Diceros bicornis minor: one gene and its partner. The protein of the gene in region 1 interacts with the protein of each later gene in a pairwise test. Links are inferred from orthologs where the notes say so. Each region holds a gene or a part of one and is shown in the gene's direction. Other genes may lie near its edges.

The links.
Region 2: the proteins of GCC1 (region 1) and CEP57 interact in binary tests that used the Homo sapiens proteins (3 or more experiments, as listed by UniProt). The two-hybrid records come from large-scale screens. The link is inferred for Diceros bicornis minor from reciprocal best matches to the Homo sapiens genes GCC1 and CEP57.

The regions. Positions count from the first base shown.
Region 1 is NC_080742.1:76,638,276-76,646,019, reverse strand, and holds the start of GCC1 (GRIP and coiled-coil domain-containing protein 1), read left to right. Parts: upstream 1-4,731; 5' UTR 4,732-5,143; coding exon 5,144-6,175; intron 6,176-7,070; coding exon 7,071-7,744. Other genes in the region: ARF5 (ADP-ribosylation factor 5), read right to left, coding at 100-171, 660-769, 1,105-1,185, 1,711-1,777. UniProt on the Homo sapiens protein: Probably involved in maintaining Golgi structure.
Region 2 is NC_080746.1:38,220,065-38,227,451, reverse strand, and holds the start of CEP57 (centrosomal protein of 57 kDa), read left to right. Parts: upstream 1-4,386; 5' UTR 4,387-4,516; coding exon 4,517-4,561; intron 4,562-7,387. Other genes in the region: protein FAM76B, read right to left, coding at 191-346, 1,124-1,178, 2,317-2,381, 3,207-3,293. UniProt on the Homo sapiens protein: Centrosomal protein which may be required for microtubule attachment to centrosomes. May act by forming ring-like structures around microtubules. Mediates nuclear translocation and mitogenic activity of the internalized growth factor FGF2, but that of FGF1.

The DNA.
Region 1 (7,744 bases):
CATTCAAGGCCTGGGAGGCATTTCCTGACTTTCACACCAGCACAGAGATCTCTCTGTCTCCAAACCGAGGGCTCAGTCCCCAGGGCCCTGGGTGCTCACCATCTTCTGGAGTTCATCAGCAGATTCCTGGACCCGCTCTCGGTCATTACTGTCCACCACGAAGATGAGGCCCTAGGTGCGAAGGAAGAAAGGAAAGAAGAGCAATCACTCCCCCTGGGACATAGCCTAGTCTGGCCCTTTCTCCTTCCCATCTTTGATTGTGTCTAAATCTTTCTCATCTAGTAAACTTCCACTAGGGCTCTGCAGGCATCCTGGCACAAACTGGAGACACCCTGCAAAGGATACAGCCTCTGCCCTCAGGCAAGCAGTCTAGCTCAAAGCTGTGCAAGGGAACGGGGAAAGGATGTGATGAGAGCTAAATCAGGCAGCGTGGATCCTGAACCCTGCTTCTCAGGAGAAGCCTAAGGTGGCTAAGTCTCAGAAGACTAAGGCCAGTTCTGAAGGATGAGTAGAGGCTAGCCTGCAAAAGGAGGGTAGGAGGGCTAGAGGATTTTTTCCTGGCCTGGGGGCCCAGCCTAGACCAACATCTCAGTCTTCCTAACCCTAACTCTTCTTCCCCTGGGGTTGGGGAGTGCCCCCTCCTTCCCCCACTCCCCGACCTGAGTGTTCTGGAAGTAGTGCCGCCACAGAGGCCGAATCTTGTCTTGGCCTCCCACGTCCCAGACTGTGAAACAGATGTTCTTGTATTCCACTGTTTCCACATTGAAGCCTGCAGATAATTGGAAAAAATATGAGGAAAAAGTCCTGAAAGGAAGGAACTCACTAAAACTACGTGGATTCAGCAGAGACACAAAACCAGAAGGCAATGATCAAGGCCCAAGGGAACAGAACCCCCAGAGGCCTGGCAGTCCACAGACGGGGCGGGGCTTGGTCACATCCATCCCGCTCTCGTAAAGATACCCTGAGCCGCTTCTCAGGTAGCCGTATCTGGTGTCAGGGTCAGCTCCCTGCACAGAGATAACGGCCTGGGGCAGAATGGGGAGCAGACTCTGAGAAGGCCCGCCGCCGCGCTCCCACTCCTCCTGGCCTCGCCTCCGGACTCACCTATGGTGGGGATGGTGGTGACGATCTCCCCCAACTTGAGTTTGTACAGGATCGTGGTCTTGCCAGCTGCATCCAAGCCAACTGCAACGGAGAGGGGCACAGGGATGGAGACGGGAGCGAGGGAGCCCCCTAGAGACCACGGAAGGGGAGAGACCAAGCCAGCTGATGGTGACGGGGGCGGAGAGCCCGAGCGCCGGCAGGTGCGCGCTGTGCTCTACCTTCCGGGCCTTGAGGGCAGCCTGGGTGGTGAATGCCAACTCCTGCCCCCAAGGCGGGCGAGGGGCGAGAGAGGACTGGGGAGTAAGGGGCGCAGGAGGAGGGCCGCACTCCTTTTAAAAGTCGTCTGCAAGGGCGGAATCCTCCCTTATAACCAGCCAGGCTGGGGCGGAGGGAGATTCACCCCACCCAGGCCCGCAGCTCCCGGTCTCAGGCCCCGGGGCTTGGAGCTGCAGACCGCGACCCGCCCGAGAGCAGTGGCCCCGAGAGGTTAGGAGGTGGGTGACTCGGGGTCAGAGACACAGGTGAGCTGGTAGAAGGGACGCGGGGGCGGGAAGGCTGCGTGGGGGCCGGCGCTCCGGTCCGCGCCGCGCGCTTGATCTGCCTCACCCATGAGGATCCGCATCTGCTTCTTCCCGAAGATCCGCGAAAAGAGCGCGGACACGGTGAGGCCCATCGCGGGGCCCAGGGGAGGGGCCGCGGGGACGGACGCGGGGTGCGGGCTGGAACCGGCCGGCCGCGGGGGGGATGGGGCGCAGCAGCAGGAGAAGGAGGCTCCGCCGCCGCCTCCGCGCGTCCCGGCCCGCCCTACGTCACTGCGGGCCCGCCTCCGTCCGGGGCCCGCCTCCAACCCCGCCCCCGCCCCGCCCCCAGGCTCTGGCTCCGAGGAAAACTGAAGCTGAGCTAGTGTCCACAGCCAGCCTAGGTCCCGCGCCGGCTTTAAAGAGGGAAGGGGCCTGGGTCTCCCCTTGTTTCTAGCGCGCCTGTCAGGTCTGTGGCTGCTGAACCCGCAGCCCGAGCGGGGCAGAGGAAAGCCTATAACGCTCCACAGCGGCCCCCCGGTCTCATCTTCAGTGGCTGGCCGCTGGGCTTTGATTTGTTGCGTCCCGGTTTAGCCCTGGGTAACTTGCAGCATCGACTGTGTGCACTACCCTCCTAGGAGACCGGAAGTTCTGTGCAAGCGTCTTAGTCCTCCTTTTTGCCCCCTCAGCTCCCAGCGAGGGGCTTTGAGCGTAGTGGGTGGTTCAGTGACCGTAGAATCTCAAGAGGAGGGCGCCAGAGGTGGGGGAAGAAGATGCCCGAGTGCTAGCTGGCCTGTAAGGTTCCTTAAAACACCTGCTTCATGATCTCCCCAACCAGCAGAACCAGTGGAAGATTCCCAGCTCTGGGCAGGCGGTTGTAAACCCTACTCCTGCATACTGGAGAACTCCGCTTTCGCCCTGATGGCCCTGGAAACAGTGCTTTTCAGTTGACCCAGGCAGCCGTTCTGCAGCTCCTTCCTCACTTTGCCACAGATCTGGGAACCTGGATTTTTAGTGCACACCTATCCAGGATTTTGTGAGGCTCTTGTGGCCCTAGACTCAAAGAGCTTCACAAGTAATTTCCCCACTCATCTTAGCATCTGAGAGGAAATAGCAAGATAGGAATTAATTTAAATTTCTTCTGTGGCGGAGACCCAGTCAATGCCAGGCACCTAATATATGCTTAACAAATGCTTGCTTGGTTGAATGAAGTAATAGGTTGCTCAGTGGAGCAAGGGCAGGCATTTTGCCTATTCTGGATTCCCAGTGAGTTTCTAGGATCAACTGCATATGGACTGGACATGGAGAAGTGAGCTGGGAATCAGAGAACCTTCATTTGTCCATTCACTCATTCAACAAATGTTTATTGAACGCCTGCTATGTGCCATTGTTCCAGGCCTCAGCTCAAATCTCAGTTCTGCCTTTTTTTTTTTTTTTTTTTGAGGGCTTAGGCTTCAACAATCCTCACAACCTGTCATTTTCTCATCTATAAAAGGAGACTAATATCTGCCCTAACTATCTCATGAGGTTATGGTGAAGATTAAAATGATGAGATAATGTATCTGTTTTGTATAACGCAACTGCATGTTATCTGGGCCACTAAGAAACTGGGTCTGAACAGAACTCCAGCCCCATCCTGACCTTTAAAGTCTGTAAAAAGAACAGACTTTGGGCACTAGGTATGAGTGAGTGTATGACTTTACTCTTCAGTCACAGACTTGCATTCCTAAGAAGGCTTTTACAAGATTGAAGAGTATATTTAAACGAGTCCCAATATAATAACACAACTAGTGGTCACCAAGTCAGGTCAGTTTTACATGTTTAGCCTTTTTAATTAGCTTCTTTCTTTCCATCCCTGTTGTCACTGTCCTATTTCACTGCCATCTCTTCCCCATGACTGAAATAGCCTCCTCACAAGTCTCCTGCTCCTTGGTGTCTCCACCCTGTCATACAAGTCTTGATGATGACACTCTCGAGATTAAAATGCTTTAGTGTATTCTTATCACCGCAGATAAAATGTAAATGCTTTAATTTGGGTCCCCCAACTATTGTGTCAGCCCCATCTCTTGCCACCTCCTTCACATATCCTAAGCAACTGCCTTGAGATGATTCTCAATGTTTCCCCGGGTGAGCCGGGCTCTCTGATGCCCCAGGAGTCTTTGAAATCTTTTCTCTCTGCCTGGAATGCTTGTTTCCCTCATCTCTAGTTAGATGGGCAATCACTACTCATCCTTCAAATCTCAAAGTATTTTCCCTGAGAGCCTTCTCTGCCTCCCCTAGGCAGGCCTCCCTCCTCTTAACTTCCATACCACTTTGAATATACTCATACATACTGGTATGATTGCAGGACTTGTGTTTGCACGTCTGGTTCCTCATTACATGTGAGCTCCTTGAGGGCAGGACCCTGTCTCTTCATGGTGATCACCTGGAACAGCACTTGGTATGTGAGAGCCGCACTGGTCTGGATAGGATTCCTAAACTTACTAGCTAAGGGACCTTGGGCATGTTACTTAACCTCTTTGTGCTTTATGTTTCCATATCTGTAAAACAGTGCTAATAATACCTACTGAGCAGAATTATTGTAAAGACTAAATAGCAAAACTCTTATGAAGCTCCTGGAACATAGTTGGCACTTAGGATGGACGTCACGGCTATTGGATGCCCTCTACATATATTTGTTGAATCAACTCAGCAGAACTCAGGAAGGGTGCTAATAATTATTATACTACACGCCTACTAGGTGCCAAACACTGTTCTAGAAAGTGGTCTAAATGGGAGCCTTAATTGTTGCTCTTTAGGGACAAAAGTACTGAGCCCCCAAGTAGTGGGGATGCGTGCCTCACCTAGGTGTCTGGTACTCACTACGACGTTGCCCCCTGTCGCTCGCTGATCGTAACCCGAGGGCAAGCTCAGTAGCCCCCACCAAACCAACATCGCCCCCGTGTCCTCGAGTTTGCCTGCTCCACTCTTTCAAAAATCTGTCAGCTCTCAGCCTAGCCGAGTTCTCAACAGGCCGCCTCCCACCCACCGGCTGAAGTAGCCCCGCCCACCTCGCGCCCATTGGGGGCGGAGCCTATGGCGTCATGCTGTCGTCACTTCCAGCGGACCGGGAAGCGGCCTTGAGGGGCCGCTGTAGTTAGGCAATCATTGCGGGGCTGCGCTCAGCTTAAAGCCTTGGCCGACCGTGGGCCGAGGGTCGGCTGGGGCTGCTGTGGCCCGGGCGAGCAGGGAGCGCGGAGCGGCTTCTGGGGCAGTGCGGGCGAGCCCTGGCAGTGTGCTTGTCTGGTGCTGACGTCGCCCCGCCTCTAGGATAGGACCCGCCCCCGCCCTCCGGGCTTGGGACTTGGCGGGTACTTCTGCTGGGCTGCCCCGCCGCCCAGCATCCGGTCGGACAGCTGGGTGGAGAGAGTGAGCGGCCGCGGGCACAACTCTCCCCGTCGTTTGCAGCCTCCGCCAGCGTCTTCGCCACCCTCTTCCGGGCTGTCCCAACGCTGACGTGGAGCAACCTGTTCTGAACCCTCATGGAGAAGTTTGGGATGAATTTCGGCGGCGGCCCGAGCAAGAAGGACCTCCTGGAGACCATTGAGACGCAGAAGAAGCAACTCCTCCAGTACCAGGCACGTCTCAAGGATGTGGTCCGTGCCTATAAAAGCCTAATGAAAGAGAAAGAGGCGCTAGAGGCCAGCATTAAGGTGCTGTCGGTGTCTCATGAGGCGGATGTGGGCCTTGCAGGCGTCCAGCCTCCAGGCCTCACCTTTCCTGACTCTGTGGATGACCGATGCTCCACTCACAGCGAGGATAGCACTGGGACCGCCACCAGCTTGGACACTGCGGCCAGTCTCACCAGCACCAAGGGTGAGTTTGGGGTAGAAGATGACAGACAGGCCCGTGGACCACCACCTCCAAAGTCCGAAGAGGCCAGCGGGTCGGAGAGTGGCGTCAGCAGTAGCAGTGGGGATGGACCATCCGGGAGTGGGGAGGTGGACAAACGACTGCACCAGCTGAAGACTCAGTTGGCTACTCTGACCAGCTCATTGGCTACAGTCACCCAGGAGAAGTCCCGCATGGAAGCTTCTTACCTGGCTGACAAGAAGAAGATGAAACAGGACTTAGAGGATGCCAGTAAGAAGGCAGAGGAGGAGAGGGGCCGTCTGGAGGGAGAAGTGAAGGGGCTGCAGGAGCAGATAGCAGAAACCAAAGCACGACTTATCACGCAACAGCATGACCGGGCCCAAGAGCAGAGTAACCATGCCTTGATGCTGCGTGAGCTCCAGAAACTGCTGCAGGAGGAGAGGACCCAGCGCCAGGACTTGGAGCTTCGGTTGGAAGAGACTCGAGAAGCCCTGGCTGGGCGGGCATATGCAGCTGGTCAGATGGAAGGGTTTGAGCTGCAGACCAAGCAGCTGACCCATGAAGTGGAGGAGCTGAAAGGTGAGCTGCAGGCTCTTCGAGATGAGAAGAATCGGCCAGACCCCCGGCTGCAGGAACTTCAGGAAGAGGCTGCCTGCCTTAAGAGTCATTTCCAGGCCCAGTTGCAGCAGGAAATGAGGAAGGTAATTATCTTCGTCTTCTGCAAACATTAATCATTTAGCTGAAGTGGGAAATATTAGGGTTTTTTCTTCTCTGGTAGTTAGAACTAAGTGGCTGCACTGTCATTTTTGATGCTGTTCACAAAATTCCACTTGTGAGTCTTGGGAAATCCTATTCTGTGCAGTATCCACAGAGTGTGCTTCCAACAGGATGTGGAGTTTCTGAGTGTAGGCTGGGTCAGAGCCAGGCAGCTTTGAGCTTCTGGGCATTGGCATCTTACCAGCTGCGCTCTGTGAGGCAGTATAGTGGCAGCTGTGCAGGGAAAGGTAGTGTACGTGCCTATAGGTATATACCTATATAGGTAGACATATATGCCTATGGGGGGGTGGCTGAAGGGGGTGGGGTGCCTGCAGGGCGTAAAGGGAATTTTCTCAAGAAATAATCTCTTGTAATTGCTTTCAGTCAAGATTTGCCTGTTCTGGAAAGGTATGCTATTTTACAGTGCCTCCTTTCAGTGTGAGAGAGATCCAACTCAATTTTGAACTTTCAGGAATATTGGAAGAGGGCAAGAATGTCATATGATTGCTTAATAGGATTTAGGGAAGCACATGATAAAGATAACACACTTTATGTGTGAGCTCTGTATGTGGTAGGAGAGAGTGGAAGCCCTAAAGCAGAACAACAGCAGATATACAAAGGTTCTTAGTATCGTTTGGTATAAGGTGTGTTTGGGAGCAGAACCCAAGCAGGTTACAGGAATTTTGTTAGCTCCCAAATCATCAGAAAAGCCCAGTTCCCGTTCTGGCCAGACCATCCCAATCCTGTGACCATTTTGCTCCCCTTTCTTGCTTTCTCAAAGTTTGCCTGGGGCTTTGTGGCTTTTCTGCATGCATTTCCATCTGTCCCCTTGTTTTACAGACAGCCCTTGCAGAGGATCTACTCCGCCAGCAATCTCAGGTGGAAGAGCAGAGGGTGGCAGCCCTGGAGAATCAAATATCCGAGGTGTCGGAACTGCTGGGCACCTATGAGAAAGCCAAGCAGAAGGACCAGCTGGCCATCCAGAAGCTGAAGGAGCGCATTCTGCAGCTGGACCTGGAGAACAAGACGCTGGCTCTAGCAGCCTCCAGCCGGTCCCCTTTGGACAGCCATGGAGAGGAGTCCAGTCTAGATGTCAATGTCCTAAAAGACAAGATGGAGAAGCTGAAGAGGCTGCTGCAGGTTGCTGCCAGGAAGAGCCAGGTGACCTTGGATGTGGAGAAGCTCTGTGACCTGGAGATAATGCCCAGCTCAGAGGCTGCCGATGGGGAGAAGGCCACTGCGCTCTACTACCAACAGGAGCTGAAACAGCTGAAGGAAGAGTTTGAGAGGTACAAGGTGAGGGCCCAGGTCGTCCTCAAGAGCAAGAACACCAAAGATGGTAACCTGGCCAAGGAGCTGGAGGAATCCCAGGAACAGCTCGCAGAGCTGAAGGAGAAGTATATCTCCCTGCGGCTGTCCTGTGAGGAGCTCGAGCGCCAGCATCAGCAGGAGGCCGAGGACTGGAAGCAGGAGCTGGCCCGGCTGCAGCATCTCCACCGTCAGGAGCTGGAGCG
Region 2 (7,387 bases), on another chromosome or scaffold:
ATATTTTTTGTAGTAATCTCAATTGATCAACATGAATCTACATATGACACTATTCCTGCACTTTTATCTAACTACCTGCTTTCAGGGACCCAAAGAATACATCAAGTCTCAAGAGTGTATTAATTATAATAACTTCCAACTTGGTTGGTGTTTTATTTAATTTCCAGATGTCATAACCTAAGTAATATACCTTTCTTCTTCCTTCCTCCTTCCGATCAAAAGCACATTGTTGTTTGCACTGCTCACACGTCTGAGGTGGTCCATATTTTTTTTCTGAATTTGTGCAACGCTGACACTTTGTACCAATAAATGCTGCAATTATGTTACAGTATTGACAAGGCTTAGGCTGAAAAACAGATAAACATTTCCTTTAATTGAGACATTTAAAAAAATTAAACATTTGCTGCATAAAATATACCCAGTGTACAAATATATTTCTGGATTAAGGAAACAGGCAAAAAATTTTTCTGTCAAGTATGTTGCCTTGTCGCATTCAATGACATTTATCATATTTCTATTCATTTACTAACATTTATTTCTAGAGCTATGAAACTTTTTGTTATTCTATTGAATAGTTTAATGATCATGAGAAACATTATTTACGATTTGCATATCATGTTATATAATACAAAAGCTACACGTGAAAAGGGTCTCAAAGAATGAAAATAAATGTATGCGTTTATAGAAAAGTTTGATGTATCCAGTATATGGAGGAATAAAGTTTTACTAATTTAATATTCTGGTTAGCTTAATTACTATATCATTTATTCAAAAAACATTTAGCAACTTATCATATACAGGTACAGATGATTCAAGAAATACATACTATAGGTGAGTTTTCAACTTAAAAATATTGGCACAAGCACACTCAACATAAACTATAACAAACATACCTTAATTTTCTTTGATGTTCAAATGACAATTCAGGATTTTATAGAGCCTTAAGGCCAGCACTTTGACTAATCATGACTATAATATACCAATAATTTCTTCCCTGAAATATTCTGGTATGTTGAAATATTTCAGAACATAGCAATACATATTTTTTAAAAGGTCCATCATTGTGAAAAAGATTAATTGACCGGTAACAATAAAATGAAATGAAAATGTAAGACATACTTACCGTGCCAAATTGCTTCACATTTTGAGCGCACTTCTTACAAATTGTATTAGTTTTGCTAAAAAGGAAATTGTATATAGATGATCAAATTTATGTAGCTTTCTGAGTAACTAGCACAATGTTGAACTAAAGCAAACAGTGAAAGAGAACAATTTGCTTTAGCAGTACTTAAAACTTACTCTAATATAGACCAAGGATTTTTTAGAAAATACAAACATAAGTATCTTTTAGGGTTGTATATTATCCAAATTTACTTTTCTTCCAATAGCTTAAGATAAATGTTTTTACATATTTTTATTTTTTACTTTTTGTTAAACAAAAACTCCTAATGTTTCCTATCTAGTTTCAAAATCTTCACACTTGCCACTATTTAGGTATAGCATTACATACCAGTGCCTACCTTACCTTCCACTGGGCCTTCTCCACTATATGATGTCCACACCTACTCATGAAGAAATCATTTGTTCTTGTCTTAGGCTACTCTCTTGTATGTGCTGTGATTCTCTAAGAATCACCCTGTTAAAACGTATTTGCTGGGGCCGGCCTGGTGGCGCAAGCGGTTAAGTGCGCGCGCTCTGCTGTGGCGGCCCGGGGTTCGCCGGTTCGGATCCCGGTCGCGCACCGACGCACTGCTTGTCAAGCCATGCTGTGGCGGCGTCCCATATAAAGTAGAGGAAGATGGGCATGGATGTTAGCCCAGGGCCAGTCTTCCTCAGGAAAAAGAGGAGAATTGGCAGATGTTAGCTCAGGGCCGATCATCCTCACAAAAAAAAAAAAAAAGTATGTGCTGTTCTTCCACTGGTAACAAGTTACTAGATTTCACCCGGGGAAGGTAGTTGGTAACACTCAAGACCTCTTTTCATGTCCAAGCCAGCACTAATGTTTTGCCATTTTTTTATAGCTTAATAGTAACTATCTATATTTGCATTTTTTTGTTAGCAAGGCTGTACATTTCTCAGGCGACAATTTATTCTTTATTTCCTCATGTGTAAACTGAAGTCTAGCTGTAAAATAACCATTAAATTTTTGTCAACATTCTCTCTCTCATCATGCATAAAAAGTTTACAACTTAAAATCTAAAAAACTAAACCATTTTTTTAAAAAAACTTGAATACAAACATGGGATTACAACCCCCAAGTATTCCTTACAGACAATACTTTGTCCTTAACAATCAAAAACTGTTCAGTATACAAACCTCTCTTGTTGAAATTCTGATCTGCAGTAAGTACATTTTACAATAGGATGTGCAATCCGACATTCCTGTAATAAAACAATATATTAGTCAGTATCTATCTCAAAGTCCTAAATTTCACTTTTCTAGTAGAAAATTATTACCCAACCTAGTCAAATGTCTAAAACAGCTATAAAATCTGTCCCCCGATGTAGACAATTGAGTGACTTATGTAAGTGGCCAATTACAGCACAATTCCTTGGGGAAGGCATAGGTGTCTTTGTCTTTATTAGATGTGGGGGGTATGCTGCAGATAAATTAAGCAAGCTGTCAGGGCCGATTTCAAGAACTGGTTAAATGTGAAACTACTTATTATTTTGCACCGTTGCTCACAGACAGCATCCCGGCTTTAATGGGATGGGAGGAGCTCCAAATCATAGAGCATTCTGTTCCCAAGCCAGTCGCTTCGCTTTCCTGGACAGGGAAGAAGGATGCCATCAGCTTTGCGGCTTCAGGTTCCTAGCAAGAAAGTGCAAAAACCGTCCCCCGCCTCCCGATGGAAGGAGAGGACAGACCAGGCAGAAAAACGAGATGAAAACATCTCCACCCCAGGGTCTCTGCAGCATAGACAGGTGGCTGCTTCACTCAGCCCCACCCCGGAGACCCCTGAACGTTATTGGGGCCCGGGCCCCTCCTGGGCCGCCTGGAAGACAGCAGTATTCTGTCTTCCTCCCAGGGGCCTTTCGCAGCTGATGCCCAGGTCCTCGGAAAAAGGGGTCCCCGGGTGAGAAGGCGAAGGCTCCAAATCCCTAAGGCGCCGGCGAAGGGCTCAGCGCTGCAGTGCAGCGGGCACCCAGCACCTTCGGGCTACGGCCGAGGAAACCCCGCCCGCCCGCCGCCCAGCGCCCACGGACCTTGCAGAGCTGCTGGCCCTGGGAGAGCTCCTCGAAGGGATAGCGCTGGGTACACTTGGTGCAAGCGTACAGGGCCGAGGCCGCCATCCTGCTCAGTCTCCTCCTCCACCGCCGCCCGCTCCGAGGCGGGGCCCTACGGAGAACTCGGGCGCCGCAGCCGCCACCGCCGCCCGGGCCGCGGGCTCCTCCTCCTCCCCCCCCCCCCCGCCTCGCGCCCACCAGGGCCTTGCTGCGAGATCCCAGGGCCCTGCGGCCGACGCCGTCTCCCTCCGCCTCCACTTCCGCCCCAGCCCACCAAGTGACGCCGACCCAGCCGCTCCTGCTTAGGCCCCGATAGCGGCGGAGGGAGACGAAGCGGATAGTTCTTTGCGGTTTAGCTGCGCGGCAGCGGATCCGCTTCCTTCTCGGCCCCCTTCCCCATTCCTGATTGGCTGGGGAGAGTACTGCGTCTCTCGGTCGCTCCTCCCAATGCCTAACCCCGGCTACGCAGGGAGCTCCCACAAAGGGAGGAAGTCGCTGGCCAATAACAGCCCGACGCTCTCAGCGCGCGAAAGCCGCTTTAAACTCGCCCCGCCCAAAGGTCCCGGTCGCGGCCATTTCTAACAGCTAGTGACAGGTTTGGGTGAGAGCGCCCCAACCCAATTGGGCAAATGTTCACGAAGGTTTACTCTCTGACTCTACTCTTTTTCCCCTGACTTTTATTGGACCAAATCATTAAGCCCCTCCTAATTCTATTAGTTATTGGTCAAAAGGTAAGTACTTCACCTGGAGAGGCGTCCCCGAGTCAAGCTCACGCTCTCTCCGGCGTTAGTCCGAGAGAACCGATGGAGTGTTTGAAATTCGCATTCGCTTTTATCCTCTGTCAGTCATTCGATCCAATTGCCACCGGAGACAACTCAACCCCTCACCCATGTTTCCTCCTCGAGAAGGCCCGCCCCTTTGTAGAGTCCCCTCTGAGCCATCTAGTATTCTGCAGCGTTACCCGCGCCGCAGTCTCAGCTACGCGCTACCTTGTGACGTCACCGAGGGAAGAGGCGGGTTCTCTCCTACTCCCGGAAGACGTCCGTTTTTTTGATTGGCTGTTCAAGACGTCCTTTAGGGCGTGTCGCCCTTTCTGTGTCCGCTCTGAGCGTGGGCGTCCCTGTGGGGGTGTGTGGCTGGGGCTTCTGGACCTGGCACCAGCCACCTAGCCCCTTCCATCAGGGGTTCGGCTTAGGGTCGCCCCTGGCGGGCGGCTCTCGAATTTTGAAGAAAAGCACGAGAACTCGGACCGCTGCGGGGCTGCGGAGGTCCGCTGGGCAGGCAGGAAGATGGCGGCAGCGTCGGTCTCTGCGACTTCTGGTTCTCAGTTCTCGGTAAGAAGCGGTTGACGTTCGAATAAGCCCCAGGTCGGCCCTAGCGCCTCTTTGCTTTTCCTCCCGCTTTAGAGAGCTCTTGGGCCAGCGTCTCACCCCATCCTGGGGAACGGCAGGCGACGCTGAGGTCGCCCCGTTCTACCCTGACGTCCAGTGCTTCTCTGTCGAGGCTCCTGTCTTCCATTGAAACAGGCCTGGCCCGGCTCTGTCCCCCATGCCCCCTTCACCTTTCGGCTTGGCAGCCCAGGTTGCCAAACATTGCCAGGGCTCTCTGGGATGGCTGTACCCACACGCTGGCCTGTGAAAACCTTTCTCCTTTGGTCACGTGGGTGTAACGGCCGGTCTTGGAAACGCGCCGCGAACAGGTAGGCGCGCTAGTCGGCTTGCTTGGCAGCTGTGGCCGAGTCCGCAGCCTCTAGTGCATCCTCGTCGTTGCTTATGCTGATTCCTTTGCCTGCAGCTCCTCCCCCTCCCATCCTCCCAGTAACTTTGTTCTGTGCTTATCCTACCCAGAGCGCGCGCTTCCCACCTCCCACCTTGTTACTATGACTGCAGTGTGTAAATGCCGTTTTTGAGAGGCCACAGGGGGAAATGATCTTAAATACTGGTTTCCCCTCCACAAGGGTCATCAGCCAGTTCACTCACTAATAATTGGCGAATTGGAGTACCGAACGCTTAGCATTTTGGGAACCGCGGCGTTAGGAACAGATAGACAATAAATGTGAGGAGGCTGAAGTGAGAGCCATTATTTCTGTATTTAGCAGATGCTGAGTGCCTGGCACACTTGTAGACTCTAAGATTACGGAGTTGAATAGGATAGAATCCCTGCTCTGAAAGAGCAAAACACTGAAGAGAAACTACACGTAATTAGATTATTACACAGTACAGTTTTTAATACTACCATACTAGAATAACCTGGGCGACAGTGATTAGCAGTGCTTGGGTAGGCTAGAGACAGTTTCCTAGAAGGGAAGATGGAGCTACCTGGATGATGAAGGAATCGTAAATGCTTGTGGCAAGAACAGAAAAAGGAAGGAGACAAAAGCATCACAGGCATTTTGGGGCATGTGACAAGACAATAGGTGCTCTTAGGAAACTTGAAATAATTTGGAATGAGTAGAGGTAGTGTGGAAGTAGAGTTGGGCTAGATGAATTGTAAACGTAGGTAAAAACATGAAAAAAGGATAGTGAGGGAAGAAGACAGGAGAATATCAGGGTAAAGTTATGTCATAGAAGCTAACGGGGGAAAAAAGTTTAGGGCAAGCAGAGTCACCTAGGGGAAGACACACTTCTCCTCAGTTTCAGCTTTTGATGACTGTTGTCAGGATTTGTGATAATGAGGCCAGAAGTAACCTTCAGGGTTTCAGCAGAATGAGGGTAATAAGTTTGCAGAGAGTTTTGGGAAGAATAAGGACGAAGAATGAATGAAGCAATTGGAGTTGATTCAGGAATTAGGTCAGTAAAAGGGAAGATAAGAGAGACACTGTTAGACTGTTAGGAAGAAGTGTCACTAAGTAGGTGGGTGAGATTATCTGCGTAGGAGTTGTGATTAAACTTAATTGGGAGAAGAGGGCTTTTCACTGCTCTGAAAATGTAGCACTGGGAGACTGCTCAAGGAATACTCTTATGAGTGTTGAATTCAGCTGCACTCTACCAGTGACTATCTAATGGTCAACCCTTAGTCTTTGAGGTAGCCTGGACAGAGATCCCGTGGAGTGTTTAATAAGAAAGCATATATATTTTTATATGGTAAACTCAGCTTGAAAAGGATTCTAAATATCAAGGGTACACTAAGAATATCTAGGGCCCTTTACAAGTCAAAGTATAACAGCCTTCTTAATTAACTTGACCTGCTACATCAAAGTGTCTAATTTGGAAGTCACTATGTCTCAAAGTAAAAACGACTAAATTTTGTTTATCGGTGTATAAGATATGAGCCCGCTTAGATGCTTTAACTGTCCTGTGAGAAATAAGGCTGGCATTTCCAGCAGAATTAAAAAAGCACTTTAGCTTAACAAACAGCTGATTGTAAAATAAGACAACACAAAAAGAAGACAAGACAAAAAGACCTTTTAAAACTACAACATGAACTCAGAAGGCTATTCATATTCAGACTTCAGGGTTGTGAACTTTATCAATTAATATGTATTCAGCATGGAGCTAGCTGTAGTAAATAAAGGTGCTTTTACCAGGCAAGGATTTTTAACGGGTAGATTCACAAATAACATAGTTGTTAGGAAAGAGCTACCATGTAAATCTCAAATGTGGACAACATGGGAGTAGGTGATACATTCGAATGGCTTTTTTCAGTATTTCGCTGCAACAGCAGCAAGAAGAGTAACAACAGTGGGTAACATTTATTGTGCTATTGCTATGTATCAACTTCACTAGTGGAGAGCAGCAGGGAAACAACTATGATTGGGCATAATGATATTAAATAGAAGTACAGGCAGCACAGTGTTGAAAGAGAAGAATGTCTTTTCTGTCATTCCTTTTTTATTTTCCCAGTAACCATGGTCAACACCCTTCTGTCACTTTGGACTTAATGAGCTAATCTCATAAGTGGTCTCCCTGGCTTTTTAGCCAGACCCTTTAACCGACCTGCTCCATATATCTCTTAAAAATATTTTATGAATATATCATAGATTTTATAACATTAAATATATAAAAAATTTATTTTTGAGAATAATAAAAATGAATAACTTCATGCCCCTTTTTGCATCGTCCTACTTCTCTGTCTTGCTCTCTCACACACCACCATACATTTTGAGATTGTAATAGTATATGACACTCATATAGTACTGTCTGGCAGTCATTGTTTTAAAT